2 linked regions of the Caenorhabditis elegans genome follow. The protein of the gene in region 1 purifies or fractionates together with the protein of each later gene. This does not show direct contact. Each region holds a gene or a part of one and is shown in the gene's direction. Other genes may lie near its edges. The genes, in order: taf-7.2 and F32D8.2.

Region 1 (5,270 bases):
TGATTTTTTCTCTGAAATTCCGCCAATTTCTCATATTTTTTAATGCAAAATTAACCATTAAAAGCAATCGAATGAATCCAATCAGTGTGTCCAGCGACAGAAATCAGCCGAGAAAACGATTTTTTGTCTGCCGATTCTCCATATAACTCTACAAATCGTTTTGAAGTTCCGACTGCTAAGAGTACAGAATTTTGAATGGAAATAGCGTCTAGGCAGAGCGCAAATGCTTTGTGATCCAATTTAATTTCAGTGGAATTTAGAAGATCTCCAATTGAAGATGTCCACCATGCGTGAAAGCCGTTTGACGTCTCGGATACCTGAAAAAAAAAAATAAATTTTAGATATAGAATTGAATATAAAATTGCAAAAATTGCATCGCACAGAAAAAGAGGCGGAGCCTAATTTTGCAACCTTGCGGCACGGTTTTTCTTGATTTTTGTGAATTTTTTTCGATAAAATTTCGATTTTTCTCTTTTTTTTTGAATTTTTTAAAGTTGAAAATTTAAAAAAAAAAATTATGATTTTAATTCAAAAAACTAGATTTTTAATTGCAAAACGCAGGGCCGCACAGAAAAAGAGGCGGAGCCTAGCAACCCTGCGGCACGGTTTTTCCTGATTTTTTGTGGTTTTTTTTCGGCTGAAAATTTTTGATTTTTCGAAAGAAAAACTCAAATTTCGGCCATTTTTGTTATTTTTTGGAAGAAAATTTTTTTTTTCTTCAATTTTTCGATATTTTCAAAAAAATCGATTTTTAATTGCAAAAAAAACAGCGCCGCACAGAAAAAGAGGCGGAGCGCAATTTTGCAACTCTGTGGCACGCTTTTTCCTGATTTTTTTGAGCTTGGATTTTTATTTTTTTCGAAATAAAACACTTGGGATTTGGCCATTTTTGTCATTTTTAAAGACAATTTTGTGTTTTCTCTGTTTTTTTTGTTGTTTTTTTTCTTCAAATCTACAAAAAATCATGAAAAACCAAGCCGAATGGAGATGCGACGCCGCTGCTTTTTTTGCAATTCTGAAACGAACCCAAGCAGCGGCTACAACTTTCCGTCCATCTTCAACACATCCGCACACACTTCCGACACTTCCATCGCAACCTGTCAGATCTGCGACGTATTCCACGTGTTCTCCACGTAGTTTCCATAAAACTACACGAGAATCCACACCGCCAGTGACAAATTCATCGGCGACGATTTCCGAAGATTTTAGTCTTTTCAGCACGGTGATCGGTTTTTGATGACGACGCTCCGAGGTGCTCTTGATAACACCGACTTCTGAGTCATCCTGTAATTTATTTGAAGTTTAAATGATAAAATTCATCTCGATTTTCACTTTTGGAATTGTTTGAACTGCGATTTGAAGTGACGAGGCATAGGCGACAAGTGGGGCGGTTTTGCAGGCGGTCAGGCAGTGCGACCGTGGGTTTACACTAGCAGAGATAAATTCTTCTTCGATTTTCATTGATTTTCTGGAAAAAAATGGTGAAAATCTCGTGAAAAAACTCAAAAAAAAACGTTTAAAATTGCTGAAAAAAAAAAAAAAAAAAAAAACTTGCCTGGCCGAGTCGGGGTCTCGGCCACCACGCCGTGTACTCCTCTAGGACAAACAGGACAAACAATTCTTTTTTTTTAATTTTCAGTTTTTCTTCCCGATTTTTTATGTTTTTCTTTGCATTTTTAAGGAAAAAATCTAAAAATTTTCATAAAAATTGTAAAAATTGCAGTTCACAATGTCAATTTATCCGGGAGTGCGGCCGCCGATGAAGAGAGGACCGAAAGTGAGCAATTACACCGTTTTTCAGCTTTTTTAACAAAAAAGTTACTTTTTTGTAAAGTTTACAAATAATGCATATTTTTTTCGATCTAAAAATTCATATTTTTCCCGTGAAAAAACACATTTTAAAGGCGAAAAACATTTTTTTTTTGCTTTAAATTACCTAAAACACCGTTTGACAATTTTTCAGGTTTTTTTTCGCAAAAAAATGTGCATTTATACGAAATTATCGATTTTAAGCCAATTTTGAACCGGAAAAATTCGGAAAAATTGACAGAACAACGGAGAAACGTTGATGAAAAAATATTTTGAAAATCGAGAAAAAATCGTAAAAAATTTCGGAATATAAAAAAAAAATTTTCGGTCATTAGGGTCTATTTTCTATCATTTAAAAATGGAGTACCGCCAGTAGGGAAATTGCTTTAAAACATGCCTATTATACCACAATGACCGAATATCATAGTAAAAAAATTCAAAAAAAATTTCTAATTTTATATCCTTTTTTGAAAATTGAAAAAAAACAGTTTTCACCTAATTATTTTTAAATTTCCGCCAATTGAACTCGTTCGTTGGAGCGTGCTTGCACGTATTTAAATGTATTTTTTTTGTTTTTTGTTATTTTCCACCGATTTTTAATGTTTTCGGTGTATTTTTGCTCGAATTTTAGAGAAAAAGTCAAAATAAATGCAAATTTTCGATTAAAAAGCACGCTGACAGACGTAAATCAGTGAAATTAATTAATTCAGGCTCGAAATCGTTGAAAGCGTTACTTTTTCATTTTTACGCCTGTAAGCGAGCTTTTTAATCGAAAATTTGCATTTATTTTGACTTTTTCTCTAAAATTCAAGCAAAAATACACTGAAAACAAAAAAAATTAAAAATCGGTGGAAAATAACAAAAAAATAAAATAAATAAATTTAAAAACGTGCAATTGCGCTCCATCGAACAAATCCAATTGGCGGTAATTCAAATAGGAATTAGGCAAAAACTGAGATTTTTTCAATTTTCAAAAAATCATATAAAATTTAGAAAAATTTTTTGAATTTTTTTATCATGATATTTGGTCATTGTGGTACCACAGGCATGTTTTAAAGTAATTTCCCCACTGGCGCTACTCCACCTTTAGGGCAAAAAAATGTGTTTTTTTTCCAAAAAAATAGAAATTTTTCAGCCACAATCATTCTTCGACGACACACCAGTAGCATCTTCCGACGATCCACCAGACTTCGAAAGTCACATTGTACTACGTGTACCTGAAGATTGTGTGGGTAGAATCGAGAAAATCATTCAATCGGACGGAAAACACGAGGAATTCTCGTTAAATTTGAATTCAGACGCTCGAAATTCCACAGTCAGAATCGGAAATCAACTGTTAAATGGAAAAATCCTGGATCTTCCCACTATAACAGAAATCCACAAGACATTAGACAACAAAAGCCTGTATAAAGTCGCAGATGTCTCACAGATCCTTGTCTGCACCCATGATTCCATCAATTCAATAGCTTCAAGCTCTGAAGATGCTGCTCAGAAAGCAGCAGCGGCAAAGGCAAAACAATGGCAATACCCGCACGGACTGACGCCTCCCATGAAATCGGCGAGGAAGAAGCGATTTCGAAAGACTAAGAAGAAAAAGTTTATGGATGCTCCAGAGGTTGAGAAGGAGCTCAAGAGACTGCTCCGTGCAGATTTGGAAGCGGATAGTGTGAAATGGGAAATTGTGGAAGGGAATAAGGAAGGTGCGACGGATGAAGTAAGGACGCAGCGGCATGTCACTTATCCATCAAGTAGTGAAGATGAATCTGATGTTGGAGATGATGATGATAAGGATGATTAAATTTCTTAAGATGATAATTTTATTTCGCTGTTTTTTATTACGGCAACACAAAATTCTGAGAATGCGTACTGCACAACATATTTGACGCGCGCAAAATATAACTATATCTCGCAGCGAAAACGATTTACAGCAAAGTTCCATTATTTTTTTTGCCATTTTTTGTTTAATTTTAATATTCTATATATCGATGAATAAATTTTTTTTTTTCGTTCTAAAAAAATTGGAAAATTGAAAAAAAAAAAAAGTTTCTGAAAAAAGTGGCAAATATTTGTTCTAAATATTCAAAAAAAGATTTTTCTATTTTACAAAAAATAAATTTCAAATATTTAATGATTTTTTCTGGGTATTTTTTTTTCAAATTTTTAAGAAAATGACTTTGAAATGACTTTTCTTAAAATTCTGAAAAAAAATACCCAGAAAAAATCATTAAATATTTGAAATTTTTTTTTGTAAAATAGAAAAATCTTTTTTTGAATATTTAGAACAAATATTTGCCACTTTTTTCGGAAAATAATTTTTTTCAATTTTCCAATTTTTTTAGAACGAAAAAAAAACATTTATTCATCGATATATAGAATATTAAAATTGAACAAAAAATGGAAAAAAAATAATACTGAAAAACGAATGAAAATGGAACTTCGCTGTAAATCGTTTTCGCTGCGAGATATAGTTATATTTTGCGCGTCAAATATGTTGTGCAATACGCATTCTCTGAATTTTGTGCTCCCGTAATTTTTTTATTTATTTATTGAACAAGACAAACAAAAAGAAAAAGAAACAACAATTTCATGCATTGTTGGGTTTCTACAATCTCTAAAAAGTTATCGTTTTTTTCGAAAACTATACTTTTTCTCATTTCTTCTTTGAAAGTCGACGCCTAGTTGGTTTCTGCTCATCCAATTCATTTTAAATGATATCCTGCTTCTCACCTAAATGGCAAAGCTCCCTTACAAAGTGCACGTCCATTTTCTGTATAGTTGTTTTTAAAAAAACCAGAGAAATTATTTTTAAGCGCAAAAATTTACGATTTTTTCATAAGAAATGCGTCACGTGGTGTCAGAATGTCGCATATCGGTTTGATCTCCGAAAGTCGCGGGAATTTCGACGCAGACTTCACAATTTTCTGTATAAAAAATTCCCGCATTTTTCGTAGATCGAGCTGAGACGAAATTGTGGTTTTTTTTCCTTCTTTTTAAAAGACAATTCTATTACGGGATCACAAAATTCCGAGAATGCGTATTACGAAATATATTTGACGCGCAAAATATCTCGTAGCGACAACTACAGTAATCCTTTAAATAGGACTACTGTAGCCCGTAAATCGACACTAGCAATACAGTAGTCACTGTTTTCGCTACGAGATATTTTGCGCGTCAAATACGATGCGCGTTTTCTTATGTTTTTTTCTCATCAAATTTGATAACAAAATTTGGAAAAATATAGATTTTTTATTATCTTCAGAAAAATCTAAAAATATAAATTTAAATATATTTGTGTGTGTTTTTTTTTTGCAATTTCTCAGGTTTTCATTTGATAAAATTGAAAAATTTACTAACAAAACTACTAACAATTACTCGGATTACTGCTGAAAAATTGAAAATCTAATTTTTATATTTTCCCCTCAGAAACGGGGTCTCGCCACGGCAAATTTTCAAGAGGGGGT
Region 2 (4,978 bases), on another chromosome or scaffold:
AAATTAAAATTTTTACTGATAAAATTTTGAATTTCCCGTACTTTGCCAGTTAAAAGAACTGTTATCTATGAGGGTCCATACAAAAAAGCATTTAAATTGAAAGAATTCACCAATTTTTACAAAATTGACAAGAACAACAAAGTAACCTTCAAACTTCGAAATATTTACCTCATGCTCCCAATAAACTTCCAACGTTTGGCCGATTTTTCACTTCAGTAAGCATGCTTGTCTGTCCCGATCTTTTGTTGATACGTTGTGTCAAAAGTTTTTAAAAGTTCAAAATTTACGTAATACCCAAATAAAACATGTCTACTTTCTGCAATTACTGCCAAAGATCTACGAAAGAAATGTTCCACCTCATTGACTTTAGCGACCTATTTAACAAATATTTTACTTTTAGCAAACGAACACTTCTGGAAAATGTTTTTTGAACGCAAAGGCCTTGTTCCATTTTCCTTCTCGGCACATCCGTCATAACAATAACTTGTAGTATGTTCAAGGGACAAACCGCTTCTGGGTTTAGGTTAGAATATGCATAAGAAATTGGGATGAGGGAAATACTACATTCCGGATAGTTAGGCAACAGATCATGTCACTAATGGAATCTTTCAGCGTCTCACTTTCTTCATTCAACTTTCATTTCTTTATTTAGGTTTCCAAATGGATCCAACGTGTTGACGGGCGTCAAGACATTGAAAAGCAATACGAGATTGGGGCTATTATTGGCAAAGGAAATTTCTCGAGTGTGCATTTAACTCGACGCAAGGAAGATGGCACCAAATGTGCGCTTAAGGTTCGGTACCAGTCAACATTGCAATTTTCATTTCCTTCAAAGTTTTTTCAGCAAGTTGAGAAAAGAGCAATGCGAGGGAAATGCTTTTTTGTGGACAATGAGGTGGAGATGTTGTCACTCATTCAACATGATCACATCATATCGATTATCGATGCTTTTAGCACTGAAAATCAATACTTCATAGTTTTCGAACATGCACAGGTGAATGATACTCCCAGTTTTGAACAATAACGTGCAAAACTTGACAACACAGTTTGAAAAAAAAAGATTTTTTCAGTACGGGGACTTATATGAAACTATCCGTAAAAATGGTCGAATCGAGGAACCAGATGCTGCTATCATAACTCTCCAAGTTGCATCTGCACTCAATTATCTTCACGAAAGAAATGTGGTTCACAGAGATGTCAAACCTGAAAATCTTCTTCTCGTTGACAAATTTAGTGTGAAGCTTTGCGATTTTGGATTGGCATGTCACATTCTTGGACCTCTGTACCGTATCTGTGGAACCCCAACCTATTGCGCACCAGAAGTTCTTCGGGAGACCGGATATTCGACAAGATGTGATATTTGGTCCCTTGGAGTTGTTCTTTATGTTATGCTTGTTGGATATGCTCCATTCCGTGCACCAGATCAAACCAGATTATTCAAACTTATAATGCAAGCTAAACCAAATCTGGATATGCCAGAATGGAAAGGAATTTCATTGAGTGAGTTGACTGAAACTGAATCTCTAGAAAAAAAATTATTCATAGAAAAAGGAGCAAATTTTCAGAGGCTAAAGATTTGGTATCTCGCTTGATGAATAAAACTGAAGAACGCCGACCACTTGCATCCCAAATAATGGCTCATCCATGGATTGCTCCATACACCATGGAAAATATTGATGATGAATGAATGAAGAAAATTTATAAGTATTGCCCGGTGCCAATGTCTTTCCTTTTCTTGCATATTGATTTGAATAAATAAAATGTACAGTTAAATTTATAAGTTTTCAAAATCTCTTCAAGATAAAAAAACGTGCTCCTATTAAAAAACAGATACATAAAAGTATATTAAAATTGATAAACGCAAACAATTTCTACTTTTTTCGCAGTGTGAGCGGCTGAAAGATTGAACTATTTCCGATGAAAGATGGTGAAAGCCCGTGACTGATGGTTATCCAAAAGACAGTTTCGATGCACTTTTCACGTCAAAATTATATATTTTTAACAACTTTCCTCTTTATAAATACCAAGTTGTAACATATAATCAACTGACCATATCTGGTATTCATTTGTTACATGAACTGGTTCCGGCATTAAGCATCCCCGTCTCTTATGTACATTCATTTGTTCATTCACACCACAAAAGCCATTTAACAATGTCGTTCAATCTAAGAAAACACCAAAGTATTCTTCCAAGTAGCATGATTTTAATGTTTCTTTGCTTTTTTCTTTTAATATTTTCGGTGATAATGAGTCATTTTTCAATCGAGATTAAAGAATTTGATAAGGATGGTGGAATCAAGTATAAACCAGAGTTTGTTTATTCCTTGGTAGGTATGTGATGTTTTTGATTAATTTTCCTGCAGTCTGATTTTCAGAAACCAGAGAATTACTGACCAATGTTTGTAAACTTCCATATATTTTCTTTCCGAATGAAGATGAGGACGTTTTTGGACTTACACCGGACAAATCGAAACAACATATTGTGAGGTGAGGAAAATTGAATTATGCAGAAAATCCAATGAATAACATTTCAAGAGGCGAATGCAAAATAAATGAACTGAATGAAAAGGTTGACTTATCATCTGACGGATATTTGACACTTCGATCAAAAAATACAAATGATTTACCCTCTGATATAAGGTTTGAACTATTTAATTTTTTGTCTTCAATAAGTCAATAACTCAACATATAACTTCAGATGCACCTTTTACAAAAATAGTGGGCCAAATGAGCACCCAATTAAGGTATGAAAGTTAAAATTAAATCTTTAATAATCATAAACATCAGGTTGAAAAAAATGTGCCCGTTAAAGTTCCATTCTACAATTTTGCTTTTGCTTGCGAAAGAAACGGTATTGTTGAATTTCTGAAACCCTTTGTGAATTTTGCATCAATTCCAAAAGTAAGATGAGTTAACAATAGAATCTAAAATTCAACACCATTTTAGAAATCAAACGGGGGATCAATTGCCATAATATTTCTTCCAGCAATAAATCACAAACTATTTATGAAGAAAATGCCGTTGAGTAAGCATTTCATGCAAGACAACCAGTTCAGATTTGCACAATTTATGAGCAAAGTAAGATGTTACTCGATTTTGTAATTATCAATATCGCTAATATTCAGAATGAACCAAATTCAATGCAAGATTTGTTACTACAACTTGGAATTTCAAATAAAATTAATATGTTCAGAAAAGCAAAGCAAAATAATTTTACAACTTTTTTCTCTGGTCCACAACAAATCAGATATATGATTGATGTAGATTATGATACTTTGGATCATCAGAATTTCATAACACAATTCTTAATTGATGGAAACTTATGTTTGAAAAATGGAAAAGTAAGTTTTATATTTCAAAAAAAGTTTATATCACAATTTTTCTAGAAATTAGTAAATGATCAATTGGAAAAAATCGGAGCATTTCTGACATCAACAGCAGATTCCAAGGTGTTTTCAGCAATGTTTATTGATGAATATGATGAATATCGTAGACAATCAATTGATCAAGATTTGAAGTATTATAAAAGTTTTTGAGGAAAAAAACGGACCTTTTTTCAGAAAAATGTTGGATCTATTAAAGGAATCAAACATTTTCGAGAACACTACACTAATCATCACTTCGTACGACTTATCAACAAAGTGAGATTCTTATTTACATTACATGTTAATTTGAACAATTTGCAGAGATATTGAAAACGAAAACGACAAATATCCAATGTTTGCTTTTCGTCCATCCAACCAATTCATAGAAAATAATAATCAGAAACTATATTTCATGAATATGAATTTCAACAGGTTAGGTCTAAAAATTATATTTAAAAAGAATATCTGAGTTTAGGTTATTGTCTTCTACTAATTTCAATCAAATGCTTGTTGAATTAATCAATCCGAAAGAAAAATCTTCAAAATCTGTCTTCATAGCTCAACCAACATCAAGGAACTGTACGTCTGAAGGAATATCAGAAAATATATGTTTATGCATGAATATGGTAATTTCTTTGAAAGTCGGAGAAAAATATAATTATACTTTCAATGTTTAGAGTACATCCTCTGGGTATCCTGAAAAAGGCGAAAAAAACTTCCTTCAAACATTGCGAACAAGATTTACACAAGAAGTGAAAACACACAAATGTGTTCGTTCGTTTGAACTTGAAGATTATAAAATTTTTTATGAATACTCAATTGGAACGTGCGTTATTTTATTTGTATTTCTCTACAATTAGATAAACTGTTGTTCAGAAGTAAGGAAGTACGTGGCGTAGAATTGACCGGATTTGTGAATATTATCAGTTCAAGGGGTAAGGTAAGTTCAATTAATTTTATCTTTTTTTGTTGCAACTAATTTGTTTTTTTTTCCAGAAAACCCTTTTGCTGAAAAAGATGTTCACCTTCAAACCGGAGTTTGCTTCATTTAATAGTTTCGATACAGCAAGGGTTGTTGTCGGTTATGAAGTTAACATTGGTATTGCAAGGTAGGGATTTCCGGTGGAAATTGTTTATTTATTAATCTGTTTTCAGCATGTGTGATTTGTAAAACAACAATCTCACAGGCACTGGCAAAGATTAATACGAGATTCCAAATTTCAGAATGTCACATATCTCACTATATAGTTTGTTCTTATTATTTTTCAAATTATATATGAAATTGATTTTAAGCATATTGTTTTTTTTCCAAAACTGACCCACATAAACAACGAATTTTCATCCCCCGTTTCACCTCATTTCTTTCGTCCTTCCTAGTTTTTCCCTCGCTTTCCATTCTCCTTTTTATTCGATTTTACGCCCTTTTCATCAGCTTTTCCCCTCAATCCTTATCAAATTCCATTACATCACCATGTTCCTCTGTGTTCTGTGATTGTTTCCATATCAATTAGTTCTGTACAGATGACCACCTTTTGTCCGAATCCCCAGCCCGTCTCGTTCGTCACGTTTTTCACTCACTTTCTTCTTCAGTTCGGTTCCACAAACGGCTTCCG

Evidence for each region.
Region 2: the proteins of taf-7.2 (region 1) and F32D8.2 purify together in Caenorhabditis elegans (affinity purification with mass spectrometry, with the first as the bait; one large-scale study listed by BioGRID). This does not show direct contact.

What each region holds. Positions count from the first base shown.
Region 1 is NC_003281.10:12,669,875-12,675,144, reverse strand, and holds taf-7.2 (TAFII55 protein conserved region domain-containing protein), read left to right. Parts: upstream 1-1,721; 5' UTR 1,722-1,729; coding exon 1,730-1,777; intron 1,778-2,944; coding exon 2,945-3,607; 3' UTR 3,608-4,456; downstream 4,457-5,270. Other genes in the region: elpc-2 (Elongator complex protein 2), read right to left, coding at 56-317, 1,027-1,284, 1,333-1,461.
Region 2 is NC_003283.11:10,881,625-10,886,602, forward strand, and holds F32D8.2 (ATPase_AAA_core domain-containing protein), read left to right. Parts: upstream 1-2,153; coding exon 2,154-2,331; intron 2,332-2,375; coding exon 2,376-2,487; intron 2,488-2,535; coding exon 2,536-2,640; intron 2,641-2,698; coding exon 2,699-2,744; intron 2,745-2,787; coding exon 2,788-2,901; intron 2,902-2,946; coding exon 2,947-3,078; intron 3,079-3,125; coding exon 3,126-3,341; intron 3,342-3,386; coding exon 3,387-3,517; intron 3,518-3,560; coding exon 3,561-3,641; intron 3,642-3,686; coding exon 3,687-3,797; intron 3,798-3,840; coding exon 3,841-3,991; intron 3,992-4,042; coding exon 4,043-4,191; intron 4,192-4,241; coding exon 4,242-4,305; intron 4,306-4,361; coding exon 4,362-4,478; downstream 4,479-4,978. Other genes in the region: cat-6 (Protein kinase domain-containing protein), read left to right, coding at 653-793, 845-994, 1,071-1,500, 1,566-1,687.